4 linked regions of the Rhinolophus ferrumequinum genome follow. The protein of the gene in region 2 purifies or fractionates together with the protein of the main gene of each other region. This does not show direct contact. Links are inferred from orthologs where the notes say so. Each region holds a gene or a part of one and is shown on either strand. Other genes may lie near its edges. The genes, in order: SNX9, OCRL, PHETA1 and AP2A1.

The links.
Region 1: the proteins of OCRL (region 2) and SNX9 purify together in Homo sapiens (co-immunoprecipitation; 3 studies listed by BioGRID and IntAct, with this or other methods). This does not show direct contact. The link is inferred for Rhinolophus ferrumequinum from reciprocal best matches to the Homo sapiens genes OCRL and SNX9.
Region 3: the proteins of OCRL (region 2) and PHETA1 purify together in Homo sapiens (co-immunoprecipitation; 5 studies listed by BioGRID and IntAct, counting the BioPlex papers as one, with this or other methods). This does not show direct contact. The link is inferred for Rhinolophus ferrumequinum from reciprocal best matches to the Homo sapiens genes OCRL and PHETA1.
Region 4: the proteins of OCRL (region 2) and AP2A1 purify together in Homo sapiens (affinity purification with mass spectrometry; 3 studies listed by BioGRID and IntAct, counting the BioPlex papers as one, with this or other methods). This does not show direct contact. The link is inferred for Rhinolophus ferrumequinum from reciprocal best matches to the Homo sapiens genes OCRL and AP2A1.

What each region holds. Positions count from the first base shown.
Region 1 is NC_046286.1:99,676,093-99,683,301, reverse strand, and holds the start of SNX9 (sorting nexin-9), read right to left. Parts: upstream 3,007-7,209; 5' UTR 2,156-3,006; coding exon 2,144-2,155; intron 1-2,143. UniProt on the Homo sapiens protein: Involved in endocytosis and intracellular vesicle trafficking, both during interphase and at the end of mitosis. Required for efficient progress through mitosis and cytokinesis. Required for normal formation of the cleavage furrow at the end of mitosis.
Region 2 is NC_046284.1:26,460,269-26,467,761, forward strand, and holds the start of OCRL (inositol polyphosphate 5-phosphatase OCRL), read right to left. Parts: upstream 3,046-7,493; 5' UTR 2,855-3,045; coding exon 2,816-2,854; intron 2,594-2,815; coding exon 2,514-2,593; intron 1-2,513. UniProt on the Homo sapiens protein: Catalyzes the hydrolysis of the 5-position phosphate of phosphatidylinositol 4,5-bisphosphate (PtdIns(4,5)P2) and phosphatidylinositol-3,4,5-bisphosphate (PtdIns(3,4,5)P3), with the greatest catalytic activity towards PtdIns(4,5)P2.
Region 3 is NC_046308.1:6,756,711-6,764,764, forward strand, and holds the start of PHETA1 (sesquipedalian-1), read right to left. Parts: upstream 3,006-8,054; 5' UTR 2,789-3,005; intron 468-2,788; 5' UTR 343-467; intron 1-342. UniProt on the Homo sapiens protein: Plays a role in endocytic trafficking. Required for receptor recycling from endosomes, both to the trans-Golgi network and the plasma membrane.
Region 4 is NC_046298.1:44,814,179-44,821,608, forward strand, and holds the start of AP2A1 (AP-2 complex subunit alpha-1), read left to right. Parts: upstream 1-4,327; 5' UTR 4,328-4,476; coding exon 4,477-4,543; intron 4,544-7,430.

The sequences.
Region 1 (7,209 bases), on a different chromosome or scaffold from region 2:
CACTTAATGCTCCTAGCAAGAGCCTGTGTACCAAATGAGTCTTAAAATTTTATTAAAAAGTTAGATGTTATTAGTTATTAAAAGTACATGCTCCCCAACTACCCAATTAAAGAAAGGGAAGGGAAAAACCCAAACCACTAGATGTTGGAGGGGAAACAGCAAGTACAACTTTCTCTGGGAACAAATAAAATGAGACTTTGGTTTGATACAGAATCACCATGAAGTAGGAAAACCAGAACTCTGAGGATGGGTCCTCTTTTAATAAATGCTCTTTTCCTCGTCCTTTCTTAAAAAAAATGGAAGTAGTTTGCCACCATGTAAACAAGGAAATGAGTCCCATGTGGAATAGTGATTAGAAAGGTGAAAGAAACTAAGAGCCAGAGTTACCGGAATTTGCCTTCAGAGTGGTGGGGATAATCAAGTCGGAAGTGCTGACACATGCTTTAAGGCTTGTGTCTAGTGAGGACATGTGCAATTCAAGTTTAGTACAATAACTGTCCTTTTCGATTTTATGGAAAAACTAAGTTCAGGTGTAACTATCAAATTTTTCATCATGTATACCCACACTAGTTGCTAAGCCTGGACCCACCTAAAAGACAGTACCAGTAACGTGCATTAGATCAGAGTGTGAAATACCACAGCCCTGACCACCACTAAACAGATAACTACCACAAACAGCTTTTAAGGTTGCAAGGTGAGTGTAAAATAAGGCCGTGTAACTGGTAATTTCTGGAATGTGTGGCAACAAACCTCAAAATCAAATTTCCTTAAGACATCCGTGCGTTTTGTTGAGTTTTGAGTTTTGTTTTTAAAAGGATCAACGAAACATTATATACGTTAAAAAGGTAGCAAATTCTATCACATCTTATAAAACCAAGGAAGGGTATAGCTAATAATCTATTAACTAGTAGGTAATTATTTCAGTAACTGCAGGCAACAGGTTCCCTGGAGAAGAGTGGCCTTTAAAAAAAAAAAAAAAACTAAACACTGCACCTACATAAATTTAGAGCAAAAAATTTAACAGACTGAAATGGTATCAGACAATCTTATCTTTTAAAGGGATTTCACATTTCTTACTACTTTCCTGTCTCTCTACCAAAAACAAAAACCCAAGAACAAAAACGTTAGGCTTTCAACAAACCAAAAAAAGCTTACAGATTTCAAACATAAATATGGAAGAGGGTGCTGATCTTTACAAAAGTGACAGAACAAAAAACTATTTGCAAAAGTCAATGCATTCCTCAAAACACATGACTACCTCCTGGAATCTTCATTCAATGGTCCTGGCTTTCCTAGTTTACATTAAGAATTAAGGAAAACACCCCAGGAAAGGGAGCGGGGAAGGGTGACGCCAGCAGACGCAAGCAGCGAAGGGTGACCTCTAATTCTACGAAAAATACTCTAAAATAAGCAAAGCACCACTCCTGGCCAATTACCAAGCGCGAGTCAAACTTCCACCACGTAAGTCGGGCCTGGGCCTTTTTCAAGCAAACGCGTTATTGAAAGCCCAGTCATTTCCCTCTTTGTATTTTATTCACGCTGGAAATAACATTCAAACTGAAAAGCTAACAAAACAAAAGAAAAAAAAAAACAAGAAAGGAAGTGGAAGCGCGGGGCGTTCAATTTGCGTTTTCCCTCCCCCGGAGCTCTCGCTCGCCGGCCTGAATTTAAAACGCCGAGTCCTCTCCCGCCGGGGTCGAGTCCCCCAAAACCGGCCGGCGTGCCGGGAGTCCACCAGGAGGCGGAGGGAGGGGACGCTCCTCTCCGCCGCGGCCGGATGTGCGGGGCACTGGCGACTGGACACCACTCGGAACCTTACCAGCGTCTCCCGGTGGCCGGCACGGCTCCTCCGAGCGAGCCGAGGGCTGCGGGAACTTCACCTCCACGCGGCCGGCCGCAGCCCACGTTCAGGGGCAAACTTTGCAGGAGGCCCCGCTCGCGTCCGGGGTCCCGCCCCACGACCCTCTAGCGCCTGCAGCCGGGCCCCCGAACGCCCTCGCCCCGCGTGACCCGAGCCCTGGGGGGCTGCGAGCCGGCCCCTCAGCTTCGCCCGCGTCCCTGCCGCCCGCGTCCCCGGCCCGGACCCTCCTGGCCCCGCCGCGGAGCCGAGGGGCCGCCAGGGCCTGCGCTGCGCGCCCCTCACCTTAGTGGCCATGGCGGGCGGATCTCCGGCCCGGGACGGCCGGCTCCTCTCCCGCGCCGCGCTGTCGGCCCGAGGCGGGCAGGCGAAGGTGAGGGCGGCTACGACTGGGCCACGGCGCGGCGGCGGCGGCGACAGCTCCGCCTCGGCCCCGAGTCTGGGCGCTGGGTGACTCCAGCCGCCGCCCGCTCCGCCAGTTCCTGAAACTCCCCGACTGCGCGGCCCCCGCCCCTGCCGGCGAGCCTCCCATTTACCGCGGCGTGCGCGGCGCGGCCGGCGGAAGCGCGCCCGGTGCCCTCGGCCAGCCAGGCCTCCTCGCCCACTTTCCGCCCCCGCCCGGAGCCTCCGCCCCGGGCCCGCCGCCGCCGGGCGCCCTTTGTTCCACCGCTCAGGGACGCGGCCCGAGTCGCTGCCGGAGTCGGGGTCGGTGCCCGGGTCCCAGCCCCCGGCCGCGCCCCGCCTGGCTGCCCGCGGAAATGTTGGGGGGAGTGAGGACGCCTCGGGGGGGAGCGCCCTCCCCGGGAGCCGAGTCCCGACTGGCTCCTCACGACCGCGCCGCACGCAGCGGCTCAAGTTCGGCTGCGTGAGGCACGAGGCTACGGTGACAAGTCTACGTCCCCCTGGCCGGGCACGGGTGACCAACGGGGATCTTGGTCCTGAGTCGGGAGTGCTGTTGGGCCGACTGTGCTCTGGGCTGAGTAAAACGAGTGCTACATAAACAGCCGGGACCGAGCGGAGCAATGGCTCCCTGGTCCGACCGGCCCTTCCAGGAGGTTCTGCCTCAAGCCTGGGGTTACCACAGGCTGGGATCCCGCCTGGAGCTTCTGGGCCGCGACGCTTGGAGAGTTCATTCTGAGATGTCACATTAACCTTCTGCACGCTTGATCAATTTAAAAATGACGCAGGGCCCTAGAGGTTTGGGGAAGATACAACGTATTTTCTGAAAGTGGAAATGAGAGGTCTAAAATTTTCCATATTTTTTTGTCAACATGTTTTTCTTCAGAGTTGGACACACGGGTTTTATTCATACATGAATGACTTAAATTGAGCAGTAAGATTATCACTGGAGTACCAAAAATATGACTGGAAGATATATCTTAATTGGTATGTCAGTGTAGTACAGTTTGTTTTTTATTATCAGGGATATATATGTTAAAAGAGGCAGCTATCAAATCAAGTCTAGATTTGATTATTAGCCTAGAAAAGCAGTATTTAGAACTAATGCCAAATTTTGTGTTCTGTCGAAAATACTCTTTGACCTCCAGAGATTTGAAGAGTTATTATACATTCAGCAATGGAGTTGAAAATGGATATGGTGTTACAGAATTTTCTGTAAATTTTTTGTTTGCTGAGTTCATGGCTAAAGCTATAGTCATAAATTATAATACTCATAAATAGTCAAAGTAAAAGGAAAGCGAGAGATTACCATTCATTGACAGTTTAATTACTATATACTGTTTCCCAGAAAATAAGACCTAGCTGGACCATCAGCTCTAATACATCTTTTGCAGCAAAAATTAGTATAGGACCCGGTCTTTATAATATAATCAATATAATATAATACCAGGTCTTATATTAATTTTTGCTCCAAAAGATGCATTAGAGCTGATGGTCCAGCTAGGTCTTATTTTCGGGGAAACATGGTACTAGACTTTCACATGCTTTAATCTTATTTAATCCTTATAAGGAAACTTTGAGAAAGTCATTGTTGTCCACTGTTTACAGACATGAAGAAATCAAGTCTCCCTGAAATAACTTGGCTGATTTGGTAATACTTTTCAAAATTGAAAATTCCCATAACCTTGGGCCTAGCAGGTCTATTTCTAGGAATGTATCGTGCTGTCAGATTTGCGCAAGTGAGTCATGATGTTAGTTAAGTAAAGCATTGTTCTAACCCAAAACAGAAAGCAACCTATATGTTTGTTAATAGGACTGTTTCAATACAGCATACCAGGCAAATGAAATTCTGGGAAGCCCATAAGAAAAGGATAATATTTAAAAAGGCACAAATAAAGATAAACATAGCATAGCACAATCCACTTGTGTAAAAAAATATGAAAATACTTTGTATATACCTAGAAAATGCCTGAAGATTCATTAGATGCCATCGTCAGAATTTTTGAAAATGTGTTTATTACTTTATTTTAAAAATGTTTGTTTTAATAAACAACTAAATAAATATCTGGACTAAGAACACATACTAACTTGTATGTGGAAAAGCCAGGATTTGAACTTGGGTAATAGCATAAGTAATGAATTTTCCATATTCTTTCACATTTGAAAGCTGCCTTCAGCTCCCTGCAGCAGTTCAACAATGCATGTTTTGTAAGGGAGCTACAAACTCGGGGTTGATCCTGTGACCTGTGCTTTTTGGCATGCTCAATTGACACCCGCCTGGATGGGGTGCTGGTGGGCCAGTTGTGCTCTCCTCTGGGCTGAGTAAAATGAGTGCTGAATAAACATCCGGGACCAAGCAGAGCAATGGCTCCCTGGACCTTCCAAGAGGTTCTGCCTCAAGCCTGCGGTTACCACCAATCAACCTGGACACCTGATACCAAGAAAGGAAAAAGACCAGAGTCCAAGCTTTTCCGATTTGAACAATTTCTGTAGTCTTGGTTTCATCCTTAGAAGTAACCATGGAAGACATCAAATTCATGATGACTAAGCAAAATCAATAAAAACATTAAATGAAAGTGAAATCACTACCTGTATTATTGAGATAGTAAAAACACCATGACATTGTTTCCTAGTCCGGTAGTGCATCACTAATGTAATCTCAGGGAGTCTGAGCTCCAGCTCCATCTAATACCACCCTCCCGGGGCCATACTGGCCTCTCGCTTCCTCCCCCCCCCCCCCCCAGCATCATACTCTGTTCCATGGAGAGGTTCCTGGGCATGTGACCTGCGCAGGGTCCAGTGCTTAGAGGGACCCCACTCTTGCTTTAATGCTTCTCTCTCACAAACTTTAAATTCTGAATAGTCTTGAACAAGAGACCTCACGTTTTCATTTCATTTCACAGCAAATTACATTGCTTGTGTTGTTTCTTTGTCTGAATTACCCCTATCCCCCCACCATCTGTTCACTTCCCCCCACCACCCCACACACCAGCTGACCTCCCACTCATCCTTCGGAGCTCTCCTGGAGCGTCACAGCAGTTAGTATTCCTCAGGGAAATCTTCCCTGCCCCCAGTTTCAGTCAAGTTCTGTTGATTGAAGGTCTCACCGTACTTGGTTTCCTTGCCTTTGGAAATTTGTTTGTAATTCATTATTGAGTGACCAGTTGCCTGACTCCCCCCATCAGACAGTAAGTTAAGGAGCAGAGGCTTTGTGCCCATGTCTCCAACCTGCCCTAGCACCACTGAAGGGGACCAAAGTTTTGCCACCCCCAAAGTGTGCCTCTTGGGATACTGATTTTAAGTTGGTTATTAAGAAATGAAGACCCCGAGAGAACCTTTGACCCACGCCCTTTCCTGCCTAAGAGATTCAGATGGAAAGGCCTTCTCCTGGAAGGGAATCAACATATTGTGGCACATAGAAAGGCTCTAAGCTGGGGCCTGTTAACTAGACGCCCCACCTCATGTCCCATTGTTTCAGAGTTGGCTAGCAGGGATTTGCCTGTCACCTGTGTTCCCCTCTTACTCAGCTACCTGTAAATTGCTTATTGCCTTTGAAATCCCAGACCCGTTCCCCTCTCTTTGTCCCTAACGGCATATAAACCTCAACTGCCCAATGCTCGCTGGTCCGACTGGACCTTACAGGGTAGGTAAATGACTTACCTATTGGTGTGCATTAGGCCAGAGCAGAGACAAGAGCCCACTTCTCTTATCACGGGTCTCCAAAACATGTCATTTTTGAACTAAAAATATTTCAGGTGAGAGGTTCGAAGGCAGTTTTGTGAAGGTCAAGACAGTCACTGTACCAGTGACATGATCCGTCTCTCTGGCCCAATCTTATTCCGGCGTGCGTTGTTCCTGTGGCCTTCAGGCTAACAGCTCCTGCTAGAGAGATGCTAATCATTAGAAGAATTCTACGTGGGACTTGAGTTTTTAAAAGAACAGTCCCTTGCTGGAAGGCGCCGCTCCCAAGCAGGTGGGGGAAATGTGTACAAAAATAATGATAATTTATCAAAGGCTTGCAGGAGCCTCAAGAGCAGACTCAGGTCAGCTGGGGTGAACAGACTAAGAACAAACAAAGAGATTTAGAGATTTCCGGGTCTTCCTCAGACCCTGCTGGTACCCAGATGTCTGTGGTCGTCAATCACCTCTTGCCCCTCCCATCTTCCCTTCCCTTGACTTAAAAGAAGCCTGAACTCTGTACTTTCTTAAGATTGATTTGAGGATTAGAACCCCCCATTTTTTCAAGTGGCACCTTCTCAAACAATAAACCTTTCCTTACTCCCAACTCTTATGTTTGGAGTTTTGGCTTTCGGAAGCGTAGGGCACATGGACTCTTAGACCGGTAACAAGATAAACCAGTCAAGGACTCCTGTCTTGAACTGTGCTAGGAGCCACCCACCCACACTAGAAGAACAGAAGAAGCATGATATCCTTTCATCTTATTCCAAGAAGTCCAGCCGCCAAGTGGAACAGTGGCTTCTCCCAAACTAGAAAGTTGACGTCACTCAGGATAATCACGAAAAGCCCTGGGCCAAGTTGGGAAGAACGTGGTTTCATCTTCTGATTCCATTTGATCACCTGTTCAAACCTCTTTCTTTCCTCCCATCCACTTCCTTCCTTTGACAGGCTTTCTCAGAGGTGGTGCTTTCCGTGGGCCGTCCTCAGAACCCAGAGGTTGAAACTGGCACACGTCAAGTTCAGCTATTTGCTCTACAGCCTGAATTTCCATTACTCCCATTGGTGAGAACACAATTGATTAGCTAAGGAATTTGATTTGCATTTGCAGACTGCGTTTGGCTAGATGGCACTTTTAAAAGAAAAAAAGCTGTAGCCAGAGCCACAAAGAGTTGTTCAGTTTAGGCTTTGAGCTCTTTTTATCATGCCAGGGGGAGGGAGTGACAAGCATTCCTAGGAGCCTGTGCTAATGGCACAGCTGGTGGCCATAAGAATGG
Region 2 (7,493 bases):
TGACTTTAGCTTGTACTACAGGGCAACAATAATCAAAACAGCATGGTATTGGCAGAAATATAGACACACAGACCAATGTAATAGAATTGAGAACCCAGAAATAAACCCACATTAAGTATTGACAGACAATTTTTGACAAAGAACTCAATAACATACAATGGAGAAAAGATAGACTCTTTAATAAATGGTGCTGGGAGAATTGGAAAGCCATGTGCAAAAGAATGAAACTAGACTGCTCTCTGTCACCATGTACCAAAATTAATTCAAAATGGATCAAAGACCTAAGCATAAACCTGAAACAACAAACTGCATAGAAGAAAACATAAGTACTAAACTTATGGACTTTGGGTTGAAAGAGGATTTCATGAATTTGACTCCAAAGGCAAGGGAAGTAAAAGCTGAAATAAATGAACGGGACTATATCAAACTTGAAAACTTCTGCACAGCAAAAGAAACCATCGACAAAATGAAGAGGCAAACAACTGAATGGGAGAAGATTTCTGCAAACTGTGCCTCCGATAAGGGGCTAATATCCAAAACATGCAAAGAACTCATACAACTCAAGAACAAAAAACCAAACAATCCAATTGAAAAAACGGGCATAGGACCTGAAGAGACATTTCTCCAAATAGGACATACAAATGGCAAACAGACATATGAAAAAATGCTCAACATCACTAATCATCAGAGAAATGCAAGTAAAAGCCACAATGAGATATCACCTCACCCCAGTCAGAATGGCTATCAACAAGACAAATAGTAACAAGTGTTGGAGATGCTGTGGATAAAAAGGAACCCTCATACACTGTTGGGAATGCAGACTGGTGCAGCCGCTATGGGAGGCAGTGTGGGGCACTTGTTAAAAGAATGTAGTGACAAGGGAAGGCTGTTTGCTGAGAAATGTCCTCGTGTTTGCTTATTAAAATGCGTTCTGAGCTAGGTCATCTGGCCCACTGCTGAAATGGGCCTCGTCATAGTGATTGTTGAGGTGTGTTGTAACACACCTCAACAACCTAAAATGTAAAATTAAGTGACATTATGAATAGAATTACTCAAAAAATTATGAATAGAATTACTATAAGACCCAGCAATCCCTCTCCTGGATATCTACCCAAAAAATCTGAAAACATTTATCCATAAAGACACATGTGCTCCAATGTTCATTGCAGCTTTATTTACGGTGGCCAAGACATGGAAACAACCAAAATGTCCTTCGATAGATGAATGGATAAAGAAGTTGTGGTATATATACACAGTGGAATACTATTCGGTGGTAAGAAATAATGAAGTAGTACCATTTGTGACAACATGTTTGGATCTTGAGATTATAATGCTAAGCGAACAAGTCAGACAGAAAAAGTGGAGAACCAGATGATTTCACTGATATGTGGTATATAAAACTGAAAACAGGAAAAGAATGACAAATAAAGGAAGAAAAACTCATAGACATAGACAATAATTTAGGGATTACCAGAGGGGAAGGGGGGGGGCTCTAGAAGAGGGTAAACAGAGTCTAATATATGGTGATGGAAAGAGAACTGACTCTGGGTGGTGAACAGACAATGTGAGATATAATGTATTACAGAATTGTACACCTGAAATCTATATAACTTTACTAACAATTATCACCCCAATAAACTTTAATTTAAAAAAATAAAAAAGAAACCTGTGATCACCAAGGGAGACTTGGGCACACAGGAATAGGGGCCTATGATACCATGTGATGGTCACCATACTTTTAATATGAAGCATTTGTAGCAAGGGAGTGAGAGAAGCAGCTATAGTGACAGCTTATCAAAATAATCTTTTGATCAATCAGTCAACAGTATTTACCGAGCTCCTATTTACAAGGCAGAGTGGAAGGTAACACACACTGATAAAATGCCAAATGTCGTTTATATTTTTGCACATTTCATTACTTTAACAATCAAGTGAATAAATGAGGGAGTTACTGACCTACACTAAACCATTACTGAATTAATGAATATGCCTTTTAGCAAGTGGATTAAGGTTGTGGGGAGACTAGAGGAACCTGTTGATTGGAATTAAGAAAAGGCACTTCTGTCAAGGTTAACAATGAAGCGATCCTACAGCACTTTTACTTTTTTGCAAACCACTTTCACGTTTATTATTCTCCCAGTTACAACTCCAAAAGCTATAAGATAGGCAGCTAATTTTTTATTTAACTGATGAGGACACTAAGGCCCAGAAAGCTTTATTGACTTGCCCAAGGTTACACAACATTCGTCAGTTGCAGGGGTAGGAACTGAGAACCCAGGCTTCCTGCTTCCCCGCCCACTGAGTCCTTCCAGTGAGCCTCAATGCCCGGAGCAATCCAAGGGCTTGGAAGTTGGGGACAAAGCCCCGTGGTTAGAGCACTCGCACTTCACACCTGGCCCTGAACTTGTTGCCAGCGTGGCTTCTGTGGGAGGCGGGTGGGAGGCTCATCGCGGTTTGGGGTTGGGCGGTAATGGCAGGCTCCCCTCCTCTGCGGGAATCAGGTGGTTACTTACTCATATTGCCCGTTCCTCTGGGCTAGGGTCAGGGCGCAGGGCTCCCGGAGAGGACCCTTCATCTCCATACCCTCGACAGTATGAGAGCGCTAGTCAAGGGTCTGTGGGAGGTTGTCGCCCCTCTACGTGCCCTCGGTGGTGCCCTGGGTATCGTCTCCCGCGCCAGTCCCCTCCCCCGCTAGACTCGGCCTCTGTTCTTGACCGCAACCCCCAGCCCGCCAGCCTCCGCCGCGTCCCGCAGTTCCCCCGACACCCACCCCCGCCCTACGAGGCCTTCCCTCCCCCATCTCTCAGGCGGATACGGCAAGGGGCTGGGCTCCGACTGGGAGCGGTGGCTCCATCCGGGCGGCCTCCGGGCTCAGCTGGGCTGCGGACTGCGGGCGGATCCGACGACACTGCCTGCCGCGTCCTCCCACCCACGCGACTCGGCTGCGCGTCTTTTTAGGAAAGGCTCCGCACCGCGCGCGGGGAGCCGGGAGCCGGGCGCTGAGAGCCTGACCCGAGAGAGAGAGGCGTCTCGCGCCCCCGCCAGTTTTCCAGGCCGCCGCAGAGTCTGCCCCCTGCGGCCACACTCCGGAACTGCAGCTAGAGACCCGACGGACCTGGGGCATCTCCACCACGTCCAGCAAGGAATATGTTTTAAATGCTGCCCGTGACACCAAAACTGTTCTGGAGATTTGAAGATTGCCACAGAAACAAAACATAGTCATACCTATGAGGATCTCAAAAGTGTTGGGCCAATAGGACCCACATCATCCATTCAAAAAATTCCTTATTACGGTTATAATGTACTGGTTATTCTATCTCCCCCGCCCCTGTCCTCTTCTTCCTTCCACTTCCTAAATCGGAAAAATCTCCAAAGCTCAGTCAGACTTTTGCGCCCCTTCCGAGTCACCTCTATGCAGGCAACGACCAAAAATACATCCCTGGCCCTGATCCTTTGCCTAATATACCCCATTGTTAGCACAACACTGAATGACAAAAATAACTCATCATTTCACACAGCCACCCCAGGCTTGAAACTTCAAAGCCGTATGATTTTTTCCCTCTCTCCTAATTTCTCTGCATCCAATCAGTCAATAAACCTTGTTAATATTTTCTTTGGAATTACTTTTAGATTTCTTGTTTTCTCTCTATTTGCACTACCATCACTTTATTGTAAGCCCTTGTGATATCTCCTTGGACTATTTCACTCTGTTGACAATTATAAGAATATTCTAAGAATCCCAGAGGAATGCTTCTTTTTTGTTATTAATTTGCTCAAGAATCTACAATTGACTATATATCATGACTGATTTTAAACCTATAGTAATTAAGACAGTGTGGTATGGAGGTAGAGAGACCAATGGAACTGACTATAGAGCCTCCAAACAGATCCACACATATAGGAAGTTGATATGCAGCATACATGTCAACTTTCAAAGCAGTAGGGGACAATGGATTATCCACTAAATAGTGTTGGGCCTATTGATCATCCATATGGAAAATTATAAAATTAGATCCCTACCTCACACCATAGAGGGGAAAAATCAATTCTGGGTGGGTCAAACATTTAAATATGAGACGCAAATCTTTACAACTTTCAGAAGAACATCTTTATGACCTTGGAATAGGGACTGTGAATAATTACTTAAGATACTGAAAAGCACAAACAATAAAGTAATTGATTAACACATTTAACTACATTACACTTTACTTAAAGACAACATACACAAGTTAAAAGAAAAGCCATAGACTGGGATAAAATACTTTAAATGCATGTAACTGACAAAGGATAACCTGTGAGGTTCTACACTTCTAGCTGTCATCACCTTTTTGACTTCTTCTTCCACCACTCTCTCCAACTCACTCTGCTTAGTCACTGTTCCTTGCTATTCCTAGGTCATGCCAGAAACACTCTTGCCTCAGGGCCTTTGCACTTGCTGTTCACCCTGCCTGCACTTCTACCTCCTGCATATCTTTGCTCAAATGTCACTTCCTCAGCGAGGCCTTCCTAGACAACTTTATTTAAAATTGCAGTTCAACAGTCTCTTTTCCCACTCCCATACCCACATGCTCCCTATTTATCTTCCCTGTTTAGTTTTCTCCAGAGGATTTATTACTATCCATTATTCTATTTTACTTATTAATTTTGGTTATTGTTTACACCCCCCACCCCCCAGAATGTAAGTTCCATGAGGGCAGGGATTTTTGTCTGTTTTGTTCATTGGTTCATTCCTAGTGCCTAGAACCCTTCTTGGAACAAAGTCGATGCTAGAAAAATATTGATTGAATGAATGAATTAGTATCCAGAATGTATAAGAACCCCTACAAATAAGTGAGAAAAAAGAAAAAAAACTAGTAGAAAATTTACAAAATATGTGAATAAGCAACTCATAGTTAAAGAAACCCAAATGATCAATAAAGACATGAAAGGATGCTTCAATTCATTACTGTTCAGTGAAATTGAAAATTAAAACCATGAGATACCATTTTACAACCCTTGGTTTGGCAAAAATTGAAATTCAGACAACACCAAATGTTGAGGATGTAGAACAGATAGAACTCTGGTCACTGTGAGAAGGGGTGTAAATTGGTAGAACTGCTATGAAGAGGAATTTGACATCATATAATATAATTGTACATGTAATACCTTTCAATCTAGAAATTCCAAATCTAGCAATAGACCTGGGCAAAATTCTACACTTTGGGCACAAGGAGACATGTAAAAAACTGTTCACTGCAGCATTATTTGTAACCTCAAAAAATGGAATCAAATTAAATATCCATCAGTAGGTGAATTAATAAATAAATCATAGTATTCATGAAGTTGAATACTATTTTGAAATTAAAATGAATAGCTCAAACTATATGTATTAACAGAGCTCATTGTCAAAAATATAATGTTGAGCACGAAGAGAAAATTTCAGAATATTAATATGTACAGTTTACCATCTACATAAAGCCTGAAAACATTATATGTTGCTTATCACTATATAGACATAATAGTAAAAGTGTATAAAACAAGAAAGGGCATGATAATCACCAAATACAAAACAGGGAGAGGGGCACAAAGGGAATATCAACTATATCTGTAATATATATATCTATATGTACGTATTTTATACACAATCTGAAAGTTGATGTTGCAGAGTTTGATAGAACTGGGTGGTAGGTACATATATTGGTTATGTTATTTCATGTCCTTTCCTGCATTTTAAATTGCTTGCAATCAATGAAAATGAAAAACAAAGAAATAATATGCAGGGGAGGGTTAGTGTCAAATGTTGAAAAAGGGACAAGGAAAATGAGGACTGAGAGACTTTCTTCAGGAGTTCACTGGAGACCATGAAATAAGTGGTTTCAATATGTGGTGAAGGTAGAAACAAGGTGACAGAATTGAGAAGGGACTATATCGTGAGGAAATGGAGATAAGAGACCATGTATTGAAGAGGCTTGGAAATAAAAAGGAGTAAAATGAAATTTTAATTAAGTTAGTTAGAAGGGTCAAACAGAAATAGTTGACACAACCTGAAGCCACTTTAAAGCAAAGGGGAAGGAGCCAGCGAAGAGGGGGGCATTTAAAATACAAGAAGAGAAAAGCAGGAAGGTTGCAAGAAAAAATCCTCAGTAATTAGGGAAGGACAAGTATCCAAGGTACAGATGGAAGCATCAACCTTAGAGAAGAGGGTAACTTCCTCCTCCAAGTCTCCAGTATCTCCAGCACCTAAAATAGTGCCCTTTATATAGTGGGGTACTCAAATGTTTGTTGTAAAGATTAAGAAGTTGTGAAGACATGGAGGTGAGGACGTTAAAAACTGTGATCTCTCACAGAAGAGATGATGATTTTCTCCAAAAAAAGTAATAAGTGGATATTATAATAGTAATAATAACAACAATACCTGATCCTGGTGGCTATGTTGAAGACTCACGTGACAGACCCTCTTCTCATGGCCTTTCATTTAATTCTCACTAAATCGCTGTAAATTATTAATATTGTTTCCATTTTAAAGATGAGAAAACTGAGACTCAGAGACATTTAGCAACTTGACCATTAACTAGTAAGTGGCAGAAACTGACATTTGTCTGAATCCAAAGCCTTAGCTTTTTAACCAACATATTATGTTGTTCATTCAGTATTAATAGTAGTACCAGTGTTTATTTAGAACATTCTATATGCCAGGTACTCTGGTAACTTGTCTACCTGAATGATCACATTTAATCTGATGAAATTAAAGTTGAGAGTAGAGGGTTTGAGAACTTGAATACGATGTAGAAGGAGGGAACAGGCACTGTTGGAGAGTGACAGTGAATGCAGAAAAGGTAAAGCGTTTTAGAGCAACGGAGAGCACAATTGGAGGCAGATGGCATGAATTTCTATAGTGGTTCAAAGGAACACATGCCTATAACTTTCTTCGGCAACACTTTAAGATGGAAAGCAAGAGCAGGGGAAACATGCCAAGAAGGTGCATTAGGCTTGGGAGTTAGTATAGCAGGCACAGCAGGAGGTCATGGGGTGAGGGAGTCTAAAGTGGTGTTTAGGATGCATTGAAATAGCTGGCCCTGGAGTCAAAGTTAGGTGAAGATATTAATCTCCTCAGCCTAGGACCAGTAGAGGGGACAAAGGCAACTGGACAAACATAATCATTTCCCTAGGCCTCATTCTGCGGCAAATTGTTGTATCTCCTTTTGGGGGATCATTTTGGGGACTATGCTTACTTATGTGCTTCTGTACGTGTGAAGTCATTTCTGTAAATTGGCTAAATCATTTTTTTAAATCCATAACCACCTTTGGACTTACCTGTGGTTGTTCATGATACCACTGTTTAACTAGTCACCCAAGTTTGAAACTTCCGGTTTATCCACGAACCCTGCTTCTCCTTCACATATGATATCCTATGACTCAAATTTTGTTAATTTTATGGTAAATTCCTTACTGTATAGTTCTGATCATTCTCACTTATCATCATTAGATAGCATTTTTCCCAACCGAGTAAAGGT
Region 3 (8,054 bases), on a different chromosome or scaffold from region 2:
GGGAGCAGGGGGCGATTGCTCCTAACCAAATCCAACTCGTCTCACCTGCCTATGCAGTCAAGGAAAGCTTCCTGGAAGAGGCAACACAAGTTGATTTCATAGCTGAGTCAGCCTGTGCTGACCTGGTAACCAGGCCAAAGCCAGAGTCCCTGCTGTGCCTCCCGGTGTGACTTCAGACATGGGCTGCCCTTCTCTGAGCCTCAGTTTCTCTCTCTGCAAAATGGGACTCATGCATTCTCCCCCACAGCCCAACAACCCCATATGGACCCAAGCCCCATTTCTCACAGGAACTATCCACTCCACTTGTCCCATTTTCCTCCTACCTCTCAGGCCACCACTCACCTCCCTGCCCTCAGCCCAATCTGCTTTCGGTGTGCTGTTCTCTGGGTTCAAATATCAGCTCTGTAGTGTCGAGGATGTGTGATCTCAGGCACGCTTTAAGCCTCTTTGGGCCTCTATTTCCACATCTGCAAAATAGGATCATAATAGCACCTAAGTCAGGGTTTTTGTGACGATAACACAGTGATTACATACCAGGCACTGAGCATGGTGCCAGGCACACGTATGTGCTCAGAAGTAGCAGTTGTTGACATTCTCCCCACATGCTCCCCTCCATGCTCTGTCTCAGCAAATGGCCTTTGGTTTCTCCCCTCACCCCTACTATGACCACTCATCAAGTCCAGCTGATCCCCCCTCCAACCTCTTCCAAATCAGTGGCCTAATCTCTGTCCACTGCCACCTCCACACTCTAGGCCCCCATCACTGCTCGCCTGGCCCGCTCCATCTAGTGGCCTCTTCATTTGTCTCCCTGCCTCCACCCTTGTCCCTTCCCTGTCCATGTTCTTCAGGGTAAGAGCCAAACTCTTTCCTAGGCCTCTCCACTGAAATCCATGCCCCGTAGAGAGATCCTGTGAAAACCAAATTCAGCCACACTTCTCCTCCACTCTAAGCCCTCCCATGGCTCCCTACTTCTCTCAGTATAAAATTCAGTCTTCCCCATGGTGTCCAAATTCCCTTCCTCTTGCTCACTCATCTTCAGCCACCCGGGTCTCCTTGCTGTTCCTCATGTTCCCGTCTCAGGGCCTTTGCCCTGGCTCTTCCCTCTGCCTGGAATGCCCTTCCCATATCTTCACATGGCCAACTCCTCATCCTTCAGTTTCAGCTTGACCATCATCTCCTCAGGGAGGCAGTCCCTGACCACCCTATACAAGAGACTCCCCCAGTCACTCTCTTGTACCCCATCCTGAAAGTACCTAGGTCATTTTTGCCTGCTCTAGGGGCTTTTGTCTGGATCCCAGTGTCTGGCAGTAGTTTGTGCTGAAATGCCTGTAAAACGAGTCAAACAGTCATCTTAAACCTCTCAACAAGCCCCATGACAAGGGGTCTATTCTCCATCCCACATTCACGGATGTGGAAACGGAGACACACAGAGATTAAGGCACTTGCCCAAAGGTACAATGCTGTGCCCAGAATCAAATGCTCTATGCAGCTGGCCCAAAGGAACTGATGTTGGGGTCTCTCCACCCCATTAAGGCCAAAGGAAGAGCAGTTTCCCTCATGCTCAGCAAATGGGGCCAGCCAGGCCAGGGTCACCGGCAACACAGGACCCTGCTCTGTCCATGGCCTCTGCTTCCTCCAACCCCAGCAAGAACCAAGGTGTGTGTGTGTGGGGGGGTGAGTACAGTAAGCAGCAGGGGCACAGCTCTAGCCTGGGGCAGGGCCTGGTCCCTGGCTTATCTCCTCACACTCCTGTTATTTTCCAAGACGGTCAAAGTCCACTCTGGGCACTGCTTCTGATTCCCAGCTCCTTTCTGGTCCCAGGGCCAAGTTCTCGCCTCCTCTAGAACAGGCGGGAGGGCCTTGAGAAAGTCACTTCACCTTTCCAAGCCTCAGTTTCCTCATCTGTCAGTGGGCTGTGGAGAGGATTCAATGAGCTAAAATGAGGAAAGCCTGCTGGAAAACTGTGGGAAAGCCACCAAACATATTGCCGTTATGAGTTGGGGTTTTCACAGCCTCATCTATAAAATGAGAACACTAACATCCATCCCTCCAGGAAGGGTTGAATAAATTAATCCTGAAAAGCCATTTTGCAAATTGCTTAGCAGGTAGTGAGCACTCAGGAAAGCTGTCCAAAAGGCAAATAATTAGCTCAAGGTCTCCCGGGAAACGGGTGGCCCAGAATCCTGGACTGTTGGGAAACTGTGCTATGGCATTTTGGCACACACTTCAAGGAAAGAAACCAGACCACAAGTCCTGAGGTTGAATCCAGCTGCCACAGTGTCCCCTAGCAGTGGGCATGCAGGAGAGGGTGTGGCAGGTACAGGCAGAAAAACATGTGCTGGGGGAACCATGAAGCAGGGGCCACAGCGACGCCAGGATGGCAGCGCCAGGCCAGAGGCAGCCCCACTGCCTATTGCAGAGACTGGATCTCCAGCTCTGATCCTAGCTGCCTTCTGTCCCTTCGTGTCGTGTGGAAGTTCTCTTGAGTTTCCTAAAGGGCAGCCAGAGCCCCGGATCGGTGGTCAATGGCAGAATGTGAGTGCCAAGTGGAGGGCTTGCCCCATAGTTCAAAAAGCGGCAGAGGTTCCTTACGGGGCCGGGGGGAGGAGGGGAGTCATCGGCCAAGTTTGTCCCCCGCACCTGGGGTCCCTAATGGGGAAATTACAGATCCCCATCAGAGGTCTCTCCAGACGCCCGCAGGACCCCGAGGCCCACGGTGGCCGGAGCCCTGTCCCGCGCGTCCCCTTTGCAGGTCTTCCAGCAGGTCCCCGCTCCAGGCCGGCCTTACCTCGCAGCGAGGCCTAGGGCGGCAGTGGCGGCGACGGAATGGGAGGCGCAGGGCCGGCGGGCGGCCTGGCCATGGCCCAGGACCCGCTCGGTGGCGGCGACGGTGACGGCGTCGGCGCTTTGTCTCCCGGGCGGCCGAGCCGGCGCAGCCGCGAGAGAGCGCGGCTCGGACGAAAGGAGGCGGAGGCAGCGGGACAGCCAGGGACCCCCCGGGCGCACCCCTTTAACCCTTCCCGACCCACCCGCCCCAGCGATTGTCCCGCCCCGGGGTTGGTCAGGCCGGACCCGACACGCCCCCGGATTCGCCACGCCCCCGTGGGCCCTGCCCCGAAACCACTCTTAAAGGGCCTACGATGTTTCACGAGTCTTCAGTGCCTCATCCCAGGAAAGAGGATCCGGTCCCGGAGAATCAACGCGCTTCCAGGGGTAAGGACCGGTTGTGGGTTCTCCCTGAAAAAACATCGGGAGGCCCAGGCAGGACCTCTCACTGAAGCCCTAGGCCTGGAGTCTGAGCTCCTCCCTGACTAGGGTTGCCAGATTTAGTAAATTTAACGCCCAATTAAATTGAAAAATAACTGGACATGCTGAAAACGTGTGATTTCTAGAAAACAAGCTGAATACAGGACATTTCGGGCGTTCTGACCAAGTCAATGGAGGACTGTACTATATGTCCAAAATGCCTGGCAACCCTACCTCTTGCCCCATGGGAAGAGGGAAAGTTCTGGAGGGTCTTAGAGAAATCGCTTCACTTGTCTAGGCCTCAGTTTCCTCATCTGTAAAATAAAGACAGTAATGGTATGTCAAGTTCATGGCACAGAGCAAGTGCTGTCAGCAAATAGGAATTGCTGCCCTTTTTATCCTACCCAAATAACACAGTTCCACCTCCCTGGACCTGTCTTTACTTCCTGCTCTTGCTGCCACCCCTCAGTCCTCCAGGACTCAATCACTGTCTGGTTCTGGCGTGAGGGCAGGAGAGAAACAGGACAGACCTGGATCATCTATTCATTCTACAGTGTTTCACTGAGTGCCTACTGTGTGTCAGCCACTGTACCAGGCACTGTTCCTGAGTTGACCAACAAACAAGATGAGTACTAGAAGTGATTCTGCTAGGACAACTATTAGCCATGGCAGTGGGGTAGAAAGACTAGAAGTACAACTTTAGACAAGGTAGTCAGGGAAAGCTTTCCTGAGAGGCAGGGACGGAGGGAGCTGTGTAGATATCTGGGGGAAGGATGTACAGGCAGAGGGACCAGCAAGTGCAAAGGTCCTGAGATGGGACCATGCCAAGCATGTTTGAATGGGCAAGAGGCCAATGGGGCTGGAGTCAAGTGAGCAAGTGGAAGAATAGTAGGAACAAAAGGTCAGGGAGTATTGGCAAAGGCAGGTTGCTTAGGGCCTTGTAGATCATAGAAAAGACTTTGCTTTCAAGAGTGGAGAGAGACAGCTACCTGATGATATCTGATGTCAGCTGAGCCCCTGGATCCAGTTGTACCTGATGCTGCATTAATTACTCCAGCAGGAAAGGCAAGGTAGAATTTATCCAAGTCTAGACACTTGCCACGTAAGGCGAATGCCAGGCATATGGGCATTTGGGCCTTAGTGTGTGGGAAATTTCCCAGAAGCCTATGAGCCTTGGCTCTCAGAGCCCTCTTGCTGGAGTCAAGGGATGATATGAGTGAAAGAGGCAGAAGTCAGAGAGCAAGTGCCTAGCATCTTTTATTTTTCTGAGTCATTATTTTTTCAGTTGACGTGAAATTTACATAAAAAATTAACTGTTTAAAAGTGAACATAGGGATGGCCGGTTAGTTCAGTTGGTTAGAGCATGGTGCTAATAACACCAAGGTTGCCAGTTTGATCCCCGCATGGACCACCGTGAGCTGTGCCCTCCTTAATAATAATAATAATAATAATAATAATAATAATAATACAAGTGAACATAATGTATAACATGGTGACTATAGTTGGTAACACTATTGAATAACTGAAATTTGCTGAGAAAGTAGAACTTCTATGTTCTCTCCCATACATGCAAATATATATACACTGTAAATATGTGAGGTGATAGATGTGTTAATTAGCTAAATGAAGGAATCGTTTTACAATGTATATGAATTTCAGATCATCACAATGTACACCTTATCTTACCTCAATAAAGCTGAAAATACATCAAAGAAAATAAATACAGCTCCCAAATTTTAAAAAATCACCAGCAAAAAATATAAATAAAGAGAACAATTCATCGATGGTTAGTACATTCACAATTTTGTGAACCTTCAATCTGGTTCCAGAACATTTGTATCACTCCAAAGTAAAACCCTACACCCAGTAGTGATTACTCCCCATTGGCCCCTGCCCTCAACCCCCAGCACTGCTAATCTACTTTCTGTCTGTGTGAATCTACCTATTCTGGACAACTCATATAAATGGAATCACACAATATGTGGCCTTTTGTGACTGGTTTCTTTCACTCGGCATCACGCTTCCAAGCTTTATCCATGTTACAGCACGAGTATCTCCTTCCTGTATGGCTGAGGAATATCCGGTTTTACGGATGGACCACATTTTTCTATCCTTTCGTCCCCTGATGGACAGACATTAAGTTGTTTGCCCCTTTGGGCGATGAACAGTCAGCATCTTTGTCGCTGGAAATGTAATGGACCGGAACAGGGACAGTGATTCAGAAGGACTGGAAAGAAGAATTTCAAAACCAGAACTGGGTTGTGGCTACTGTTACCAAGTCCTGACGATTTTACTTCCAAACCATGTCTCGAGTTTGTCACTTCTCCATCTCTGCCACCACTTCCCCATCCCAGGCTACTGGCATCTCTTGCCAGGTTGGCTGCCATAATCTTCTCTCGGGTCTCCCTTCTGGCACTCTGGACCCTGCAACCCCTGAATCCATTCTCCACTTAATAAAACTTAAGTCAAATCAAGTCATGGCACTCTCTTGCTCGAAGCCTTTCCATGGCTTCACATCACGTCAGGAGCAAGTCCAGGTCCTTTCTGTGAGTGGCAAGGCCTTACTTGTCTTGGCCTCTGCCCACCCCTCCAGGCTCTGCACACACATTTTCTCATCCCCACTCCCTCAGCTTTGGCCACCTGGCTCCCCTCTGTTCCCAGAATGCACCATACCCTGAACCTTTACACATGCCGGTCCCTTCCAGGACTCATCCTTCAAGCTCTCACTCAGCGGTCACCTCTTCCAGGAAGGCATATGACCCCCAGCCCCACCCTGATGAGTCTAATGCCTTTGTTTCCTCCAATCAGTCATTCTTTCAACCAATATTTAGTGAGCACTAACTGCATCTCAGACACCAGGATACAAGTTAAAAAGACAGATAAGTACATACATGCATGTTTGTAGCAGCACTAGTTACACTACCCAGAAGGTGAAGACATCCCAGATCTCCATCAAGGGATGAATGGGTAAATTACACATGGTCCATCCATACAATGGAATATTTACTCAGTCATAAAAAGGAATGAAGTACTGACACATGCTACAATGTGGCTGAATCTCGAATATGCTATGCTAAGTGAAAGAAGCAAAACACAAAGGGCCACACATTGTATGATTCCATCGTTATGAAATGTCCAGAATAGATAAATCCACAGGGACAGAAAGCAGACCATCAATGGTTGCCTGGTACTAGGGGGAGAGGCGAGTGGGAAGTGACTGCTTAACAGGTACGGGGCTTTACTTTTGAGTGATGAAAACTTTTTGGAACTAGATAGAGGTGGTGGTTGTACAACGTTGTGAATTCATTTTAAAATGGTCGATTTTATGTCATGTGAATTTCACCTCAATGAATTATTTTTTTTTAATGACAGGCAAGTGTTCCTGTCCTCCCTTACCAGAGGAAAAAAATAAGGAAGCAACATTCATACAGTACATTAGATGACGTTAGGAGTCAAGGAGAAAAATAAAGCAAGGGAAAAGCATATGAATTGTGAATGAGGATGGTGAGTTGCCATTTTCATTAGGTGAGGCCTACAGAAGGTAGCTTTTGATTAAAGACCTGAAGGAAATAAGGGCACAAGCCATGCAGATATCCAGAGGGAACAGCATTCCTGGCAGAGGAAACAACAAATGGAAAGGCTCAGAGGCAAGAAACATGTCAAGGGGGCCAGTGTGGCTGGAGCAAAGAGAGCAAAAGGAGAAGAGAGGTGAGATCAGAGAGGCCTGTGAGCTTTACTCAGAAGGTCGGTGGGATGAGGAGGACCCACCAAGGAGATGAGAAGGTACAGACAACGAAGCAGGAGAAAAGCCAGGGCAGGCCAATTATAGGTATCGTATTTGGGTTTGATGACTCTGCGTAACCTGTGACACCTCCCCACCACCCCAGGTTAGAGGGTAGGTCCATGAGGGCAGGGAGTTTCGCCTACTTTGTTCACTGTTGCATCTCCAGCGCCTGGCACAGCACCTGGCATATAGAAAGTACTGAGTGACTCCAGGCTTGAGCCAGTTCCTCCCAGGAAGGTGCCCGCAGGACCTGCCATCTGGCATCCAGATTTTGGCCTCCCAGCCCTTTCTACTGATCCCCCACTTTGTGCAGCCACCAGCAGGGAAGATAGTGGTCCCAGCTGGGGTGTGAGGCAGAGTTTCCTTCCACAGTGGTTGCCCCACCCCAGAAGTGGCCAGGCCCAGCCAGCCCCAAGAAGGAACTGAAATTGTCCTCCACCACAAATACCTGGCCCAGGCCACAGACTGTGAGAGGGGCAGTGACAGGAAAGGCCAGAGTCCCTGGACCTCAAAGGGCCCCCCTCCTCTGGGAGGTGTTGGGGAGAAACGGGGACCCGTGCACCACCAGCCTGAGGCCTGGGTCCTGTGTGTGACTCTTGCTGAAGGCGTCTTGCAAGGTCTTGCCAGCTCATTGCATAGCGTCAAATGGAGGGTTTGGGAACCTGCCCTAAAAGGGGGCATTGCTGAGTCCTCTCCTCCTCATCCCCTCTATTATTTATGGAGCCTCTCTTCTCCCCCCTTGCCAAACCCTCTCTTTTCTCTTCTGCTGCCGACCACCGAATTCCTAAATACTTCCTCCCAAGGAGCAAGTGAAACCTTGAGTTTCACTTGCTCCTTGTCAATAACCAAGATGCATTGCATATCGGCCCAGGGCCAAGTTCCTTTTATACAAACCCTTATATTGAATCCTCAAACCAAGGATCAGAGAGAGTAATGTGCCCATGGCCTCACAGGAAGAGGCAGAACTGGAGGTCCAACCCAGAAGTCCAGAATGGCTGCCTTTGGTATATGTTTTTCCTCCTGC
Region 4 (7,430 bases), on a different chromosome or scaffold from region 2:
AGCTGGGAGAGTGTGGAGAATGGACCGTGGGTAGCCAAGATGGGAGCAGGGAGAGCAGCAAGGGACGTCACTGCAAAGTTTCAGGTAGGGTTTCCAGGCGGGAATTCCCGCCTGTTTTCAGGAATTTTTTTTGCTTTCCCGTTCCCGAATACTGATATATAAACTGTTTTCTGTTCTCCACGATGAATCGTTTCCACAAAGTGACGGCCAATAATACTACCAACCACCTGGGTTCAAGGAGCCGATTTTCCCGATTTCCCGACCAAATTTTCTCGAGATTCAAGAACGGAAAAAGCGAAAAAATTCCAGAGAACGGGCAGGAATTCCCGCCTGGAAACCCTAGCGATAAATAGGAAACATGTCTAAGAGATACATTGTGAGTAGTATGTTTATTTCCCATTGTGGGTATTACTGGCTTCAAGGAGCCGATTTTCCTGATTTCCTGACCAACTTTTCTCAGGATTCGGGAACGGGAAAGCGAAAAAAATTTCCTGAGAATAGATGGGAATTCTTGCCTGGAAACCCTAGTTCCAGGCAAGAGATGATGGTGATGGTGGCCTACACGGGGCGGGGCAGTAGTGATGTAAGGAGGTGGCTGGCTCTGGGATATGTTGTGCCCTTGGTTTGAGGTGACAGACAGGAGGGATTCTAGCGAGAGTGCCTGGGTGATTGATGGAGGGCCCATTTGTCAAAATGGGAAGACTGGGGGTGAATACAGTTTTTCTGGAGAAAGTTGAGAGTTGATTTGCTCAGGTCAAAGTCTTAGAAGCTCTTGATGGTTCAATCCATGAGCTCCTTTAAGACAGAGCTGCTGTGTCTTAAAACCAAAATGGACTTTCCCAAACCTCATCTAGACCACCAAACGTGGATTTGTTTGTGGCCTGGTCTTAAAACTTAGCAGTGGGTCAACCCCTGAGCTCCAAAATGTTCTTTCTCAAATCTGGTCCTATAATTCTATGCCATCCAATATCAATGCCACTATGAATGGCCTGTGTCTACTGAGGGCTTGCAATGTGGCCAGTCTCAACTGAGATGTACTATAAGTAAAAAACCCTGGATTTCAAAGACTTAGAAAAATAAGCATGCCAAATATGTTGAAATGTAATATTTGGGTATATTGGATCAGATACAATATATTATTAAAATTAATTTCACCTTTTCTTTTTACTTTTTTTTTAATATGCCTGGAATAAATAGAAATTTATACCTGTGGCTCCCACTGTATACCTACCGGGGGTGCCACAAAAACGTATACACATGACTGGTATTCATCTTTTGTTATCGGTATATATTGAGTATTACAATTTTAATACAGTTCCCCCCCCTTTCTTCCGCCTCTCCCACCCCCTACTCCCGTTGTTTCTCAGTCTAGTTGTGTAGGACACAGCTCCCTGGCCCATGCTGGTATTATGAGCCTTGTGCTCCCCTCTGGTGAGGCAGTCAGTTGCCAGTCCTTGGTCGGCTGCTCACAGCAGCTCATAGCAGCTCTCACCAGCTGCCAGCCGCTCATGCTGGCCACCGGCTGCTCATGGTGGCACACAGTAGACGGTGGCAGCTCACGCCAACCTCTGGCTGCACACTGCAGCCCAGCTCCAGGGAGAGCCGTTGTTCACAATCTTAGCTGTAGAGGGCGCAGCTCACTGGCCCATATGGGAATGGAACCTGCGACCTTGGTGTTAGGAGCACGGCGCTCCAACCACCTGAGCCACCGGGCCGGCCCTAATATGGTTTTATCCTTTCTTAAAATATATATACATTTTTTTTTGGCACCCTCTGTATATCGGTAAGCCCTGCTCTAATTCAACAGGGGTCAAGTCCACAAGCTCCTAAGGGGGCACCATGTCCACCCCACATGCAGGTTTCCCCAAAGTCTCCTTTGCCATTCTGACTCTTTAGACCTCAGACTGCCTTTGCTTTAGACCCTGTCTTAAAAGTTTTTGGCTCCTTCAGCTGCGGCAGCCATTGAGGAGCACCAGCCATGGTCCTGCACTACCCCATGGCCATGAGCCTCAGCCAGGGCCACAAGTGACCAAGAAAGTGAGCAAGTGGAGGCACAACTGACTCCGCTGCTGGCGCCTCACCCGAGTTCTGTGGGACATGATCTGAGAGGTGTGCGGCTTTGCCCTCTATGAGTGGCGCCATGGAGCTGCTTAAGGTCTCTTAGGACAAGTGAGCCCTGAAGTTCATCAAGAAAAGGGTGAGGACACATTTCTGTGTCAAGAGAAGAGAGGAGCTGAGCAGTTCTTACAGTCATGAGGAAGGCAGCTGCCAAGAAGGACTGACTGAGCCCCATCCCCCTCTGTGTAATAAAACCTTTTCAGAAAAAAAAAAAGTTTTTGTTAATTCATGGGCTCTGGAGGTGGTTGGGAGAGGACTGAGTTTTCCTGTATATCCACACTGAGAACTCAGAATTAACTCCATCTTACTCCAGGTGGGTGAAAGGTGAAGGGTTGGAGGTGGTGGGTGAGAGGAAGGTGGAGAGCTGAGGTGGGTAAGAAAGTGGCTTTCCCCCTTACTTAGAGAAGGACTTTACCTGTTCTTGGGACTCTGGCTGTCTCTCTTCACATTCCTCAAAAAGCGGAGTAGTTAGAACCTCCACTGTGTGTGTGTGTGTGTGTGTGTGTGTGTGTGTGTGTGTGTGATATCTATATCTATCTATCTATCTATCTATCTATCTATCTATCTATCTATCTATCTATATAGATAAATTTTTTTAATGGCATTATCTTCTGGGAGAAAGTGCCTCCTCCTATGTGACGAATGGACCCCTCCAGTCCTTGGATGCTTAACATACCTTCCTTAAAAAGGACTGTTTTCAACTCCTGGTCCTAAGAATTTTTTATTTTTAATGGGCTTGTTCTATGTTCTTTAGGGGCAGACAGCACCCCCAACTGTTATTAGGAATGGACTCCCTTGGTCACTAAAACAGCTGAGTGATGTCTGTCCAGAATACACTTTCCCAAGCCCCATTCCTGGAAACCCAAATGGACAGATCCATTGAACCCGGAAGGTGGGCTCTTCTCACCCTAATCTCCATCCCCCCAGGACTCAGCCTGAACGTTCCCGCCAACCAGGACACTCCACCAAGGCTCATTCCAAGAATACTAGGTTTCAGAGATCTGAAAAGGGTAATGGGTGGGGTTTAGTTCCTCCGTGACAGAAATGGACTCTTCCAGTTCCCTTTGCCCCAAATTGCTCAATAGCCTGGGGCGTTGGAGTTCCGGAGGCTTTGACTTCCCAAAACCCAGTCAACCAGAGCGGGTCTCTGGGGCACTGAAGGGTGGTGGTTGGGCCAACCACAGCAGATCTACCTATTCCTTCCTTTTAAACAGCGTTCTTCAGTACTGGGTCCCATTCTTGCTCAGGAGCTGCAAGTCTGGTGGAGAGATTCACAATTTTGACTTGATATCTGTATAATGGCGTTATGATTGCGACAAAAAGGCATTGCCTATTAAAAAGTCGTTAAAAGCCAAAATATAATTTAAATTCCGATTCTGACACTTCCTAGCTGTGTGACCTTGGGCAAGTCATTCAACCTCTCTGAACCTCAGTTTTGACCTCTGCTTAATGGGACGAGACTTGAATTACTGTGTCCTCTGCCTTGGGATTCTCGGTCTCCCGACAAGTTAGGTCTCAACTTCTTGGCCGCTAAATAAGGGAGGAGGAGGTGGTGGTGGGGAAATCTTAGAAGATTTAAGGAGAGTAGGTGGAGGAAAGTAGGGAGAAAGGGGAACAGACACACGCTTGCGCAGTAAACACCTCACGCTTTCTTGCCCCTCCCATCCCCTTCTCTGCAGCAGGGAATTGCAGACGACGCTCCACCTATCCCAGACCAGCTGAGCGACACCTTCCCTTCTCCTTCCTTTTCCACCTTTCATCACCCTGCTCCAGCCCACATTACCGCCCAATGGTGGGCGGGAGCAGGACGGCCCGGCGAATCTGCGAGGTCTGCGGGGGCGATCTATTCGCCCATTGGCCCGAGTCAAAGCAAGTTCCGCCTCCTCAAGCCCGCTCCCCCGCCTTCCTTCACGCCAATCCCTCCCTTGTAGAGAGCGTTCGAATCCAATCAATATCCCAAGTATCCGCGCGTAGGGGGCGGTCCCACAGTACGTAACCGGACTCCGCCCGCCTCTCGGCAACGCCTCCTCCCCCGAACGGAAATAGCGGGGAGCTGGACCAATCGTAGCGGCGTGCCTTTGCCCTGCGGCCAATGAGAGAGGGAGTGAGGGAGATCCTGTGTCTGAGCAGCAGTGACCTGAGCCAATGGGCGGCTGTGAGCTCAGACGGCGGAGGGGAGGGAGGGGCCGGGGGCGGAGCTGCGGCCTGCCAGCCCGCCTGCCTGTCCGCCCGCCCTCCCCCCCTGGCCGGCTCGGCTCCTTGGCGTTGCCTGGGGTCCTTTCCTCCCGATCCCTGTCTGCCAGCCCCCGCTGCGCTGTGCCCTGCCCGGCCAGGCCTGGAGCCGACACCACCGCCATCATGCCGGCCGTGTCCAAGGGCGATGGGATGCGGGGGCTCGCGGTGTTCATCTCCGACATCCGGAACTGTGAGAGCTCGGCGGGGGGACACTGGAGACGGGGAGCGTGGAATTGAGGGGTTCGAGGGTTACAGAGAGGCCCGGGGGATAGAAAACCATTGGGGTCGTAGAGGGAAAAGATAGAGAGGACCCGGGGGGAACTTTAGGGTGGGGGGAATGGAGGGGCTTAGGGTGTCATAGAGTGCCTCTTGAGGTGACGACACGGAGTGGCTAGAGGCGTCTGGGAGGGTCTTAAAGGAGAGGAGGCTAGTAAGGTTCCAAGGATGGGGGCATAGAGGTGTCCCTGTGGATGATAGCCGGATGGGTCGTATTAGCGATGGGGTTAGAGGAATCCCTGATGTAGATACAAAGGGAAGGTGGTGGATGGGTTGCGGGGGGGCGGGGGGGGTATTCTGTGGAGTGATAGAGTGGGAGGAGGCTAGAGGGGCCTGGGAGGACGTGAAACGCTGGGAGCCTAATGGGGCCGCGCTTGAGGGCCTGGTTGAGAGGTTGTCATAGAGGGAAGAAGCTAGATAGGTCATTGAGGCCCTTGGCTAGTACATAGAGAGGGCCTGGGGATGATAGAAAGTCCCAGGGGTTGGGAAAGAGAGGTGGGAAGGTGGGGGCCTATAGCGGGACCCTGGTGAGGGACAGAGGGGCTCCAGGATGGAGGATTGCTTAGGAGATATTGAGGGCAGTGCAGAGGCTTGAGGGGTTACGGAGGGGAAAAGAGGGACTCACGGAGTGTAGAGGAGAGACACTGCAGGTGAGGGTCTTGGAAGAACCTGAGACAGAAAGCTGGGGCCTGAAAAGGGGAGGATATTATAAAGTAGGGGCTTGGGGGATGTTCCAGAAAGGGAAGAGCCCAGAGCTCAAAGAAGGGGCCAGGGAGCCTTAGGAATTTGTGAGGAAGAGATCTGAAAAGCTGGGGAGTAGAGGAAGCCTGGTCTCAGAGAGGGGTCAGGGAGCATGACAGTTCTGAATCTATAGCCCTGTCCCTTCTGACCATCTCAATATGGGACAGTGAGCACCACCAGGAAGGATTGTCATGGCAATGGGAGGCCTGGCATCCAGTCAGTCCCAACTCCTGGGATCTGGTGTTGGTATTTGGAGCTGCCAAGAGCTTCAGAGGCTGTTCCACATGGGATTTGGGGGCAGCTAGACCTGGGTTTGAGTTTAAATGCTGTCACTCCCCAGTGGTGTGTTAATGTGTGTGAATGAGGCCTTTTGCACATTCCAGGCACCGGGAGGATCTTGGCTATTGTTCTTGTTATTTTGCTGGATCTGAGGAGTGGCCAAGGATCTAGCACATAGTAGATGTTCAATGAACAGGAAGGGTGGAAACTGTTGGTATCAGGTGGTTGTCATGAAAAGGGGTGGAGCTAGGAGGGGTTGTGGACTAGGAGGGGTTGCCGGCTGGTAGAAGCAGGTGTGCATCGCCTCTGATACCTACCAGACATGAGACCCTTGGCATATCACTTTAACCTCTCTGAGGCTCAGTTTGATTGTCTGCAAACCTCAGTGAGAATAGCATCTTGCCTCTGAAGGTTCATTCATTCATCTGACAAGTACTTTTGAATCAGTAAAGTGTGCCAGACACTGTTCTGGGGACTGAGGCTACAAAAGTGAACAAAAATTCCTGCCCTTGGGAGTACCATGTCATGAGGGAGAAAATAAACACAGAGAACCTGCAATACATGATACAATGTCAGACTATGCTGTGAAGAAAAATAAAGAAGGGGAGGCAGGCAGAGGGCCCCGGACTGAGAGGGTGCTCAGTGAAGGCCTCCCCGAAGAGCTGACATGTGAGGGGAGACTTGAGTGAATGGCGGGAGTAAGCCCTGTGGATCCAGGCAGGGGAACAGTGCATTCAAAGGTCCTGAGGTCGCGGCACACTTGGTGTGTGTTCCCATATGAGTGAGGGGGCCGATGTAGCTGGAGCCAAAAGAGGGAGAGAGGATGGGAGCTGACGTGTAGGGCTTTGTGGGTCACAGTGAGCCCTTTGGCCTTTCCCTGAGTGAAATGAGAGAGGCAGCAAGGTTTTAAGCGCAGGAGGGACACGAGCTGATTGATGTTTTAAAATAATTTTTCTGGCCGCTATGAAGAGCACAGACTGGAGGCAAGAGCAGAAGCAGGGAAAGAATTAGATGCCTATCCAGGTGCGAGATGGTGTTGGCTCACCTGGGGTGAGAAGGGAGTGGGGAGAAGTGGTTGGATTTGGGATAAATTCTGTAGGATTTGCAAAGGGATTGGATGATGGGGTTAGGGAAGGAAAGAGAAAACAGGTTGGTGTCACTGCAGGACCCCAGCGGGAAGCCAGAGGACAGAGAGGAGACTCCAACTTGGGGACAGTGGAGGTAATTTTGCCAAATGTATTGGGGCTGGACAATCAGGGCTTCCCCTTGTCTTTTTCTCATCAGGTATATGTTGAGTGCCTGGTATGTTTCTCGCCTTATTATAGGCGCTGGGGATATAACGGTGAATAGGACAGACTTGTCAGTGTCCCTGTGGAGCTCCTAGCCCCGTGAGGGAGACCTGTACTGCATAAAAAATGCAGCTGTCCTTGTTACAAACAGTTGTATACAGATGTTGATAGCAGCATTATTCATGATAGCCAAAAAGTGGAAACAACCCAAATATTCATCGATAGATGAATGGATAAACAGATGTTTTCCACCCACACAATGGAATATTATTCAGCCATTAAAAAGAATGCAGTACTGATAACCTAGATGCTACAACACGGATGAACCTTGAAAACATCATTCTAAATGAAAGAAGCCAGACACACAAAAATGTATGATTCCATTTATCTGAAACGTCTGGAATAGGCAAATCCATAGAAACAGAAAGTAGATTAGTGGTTGCCTAGGGCGAGGGGTTGGTGGAATGTGGAGTGACTGCTAAGGAGTGCAGG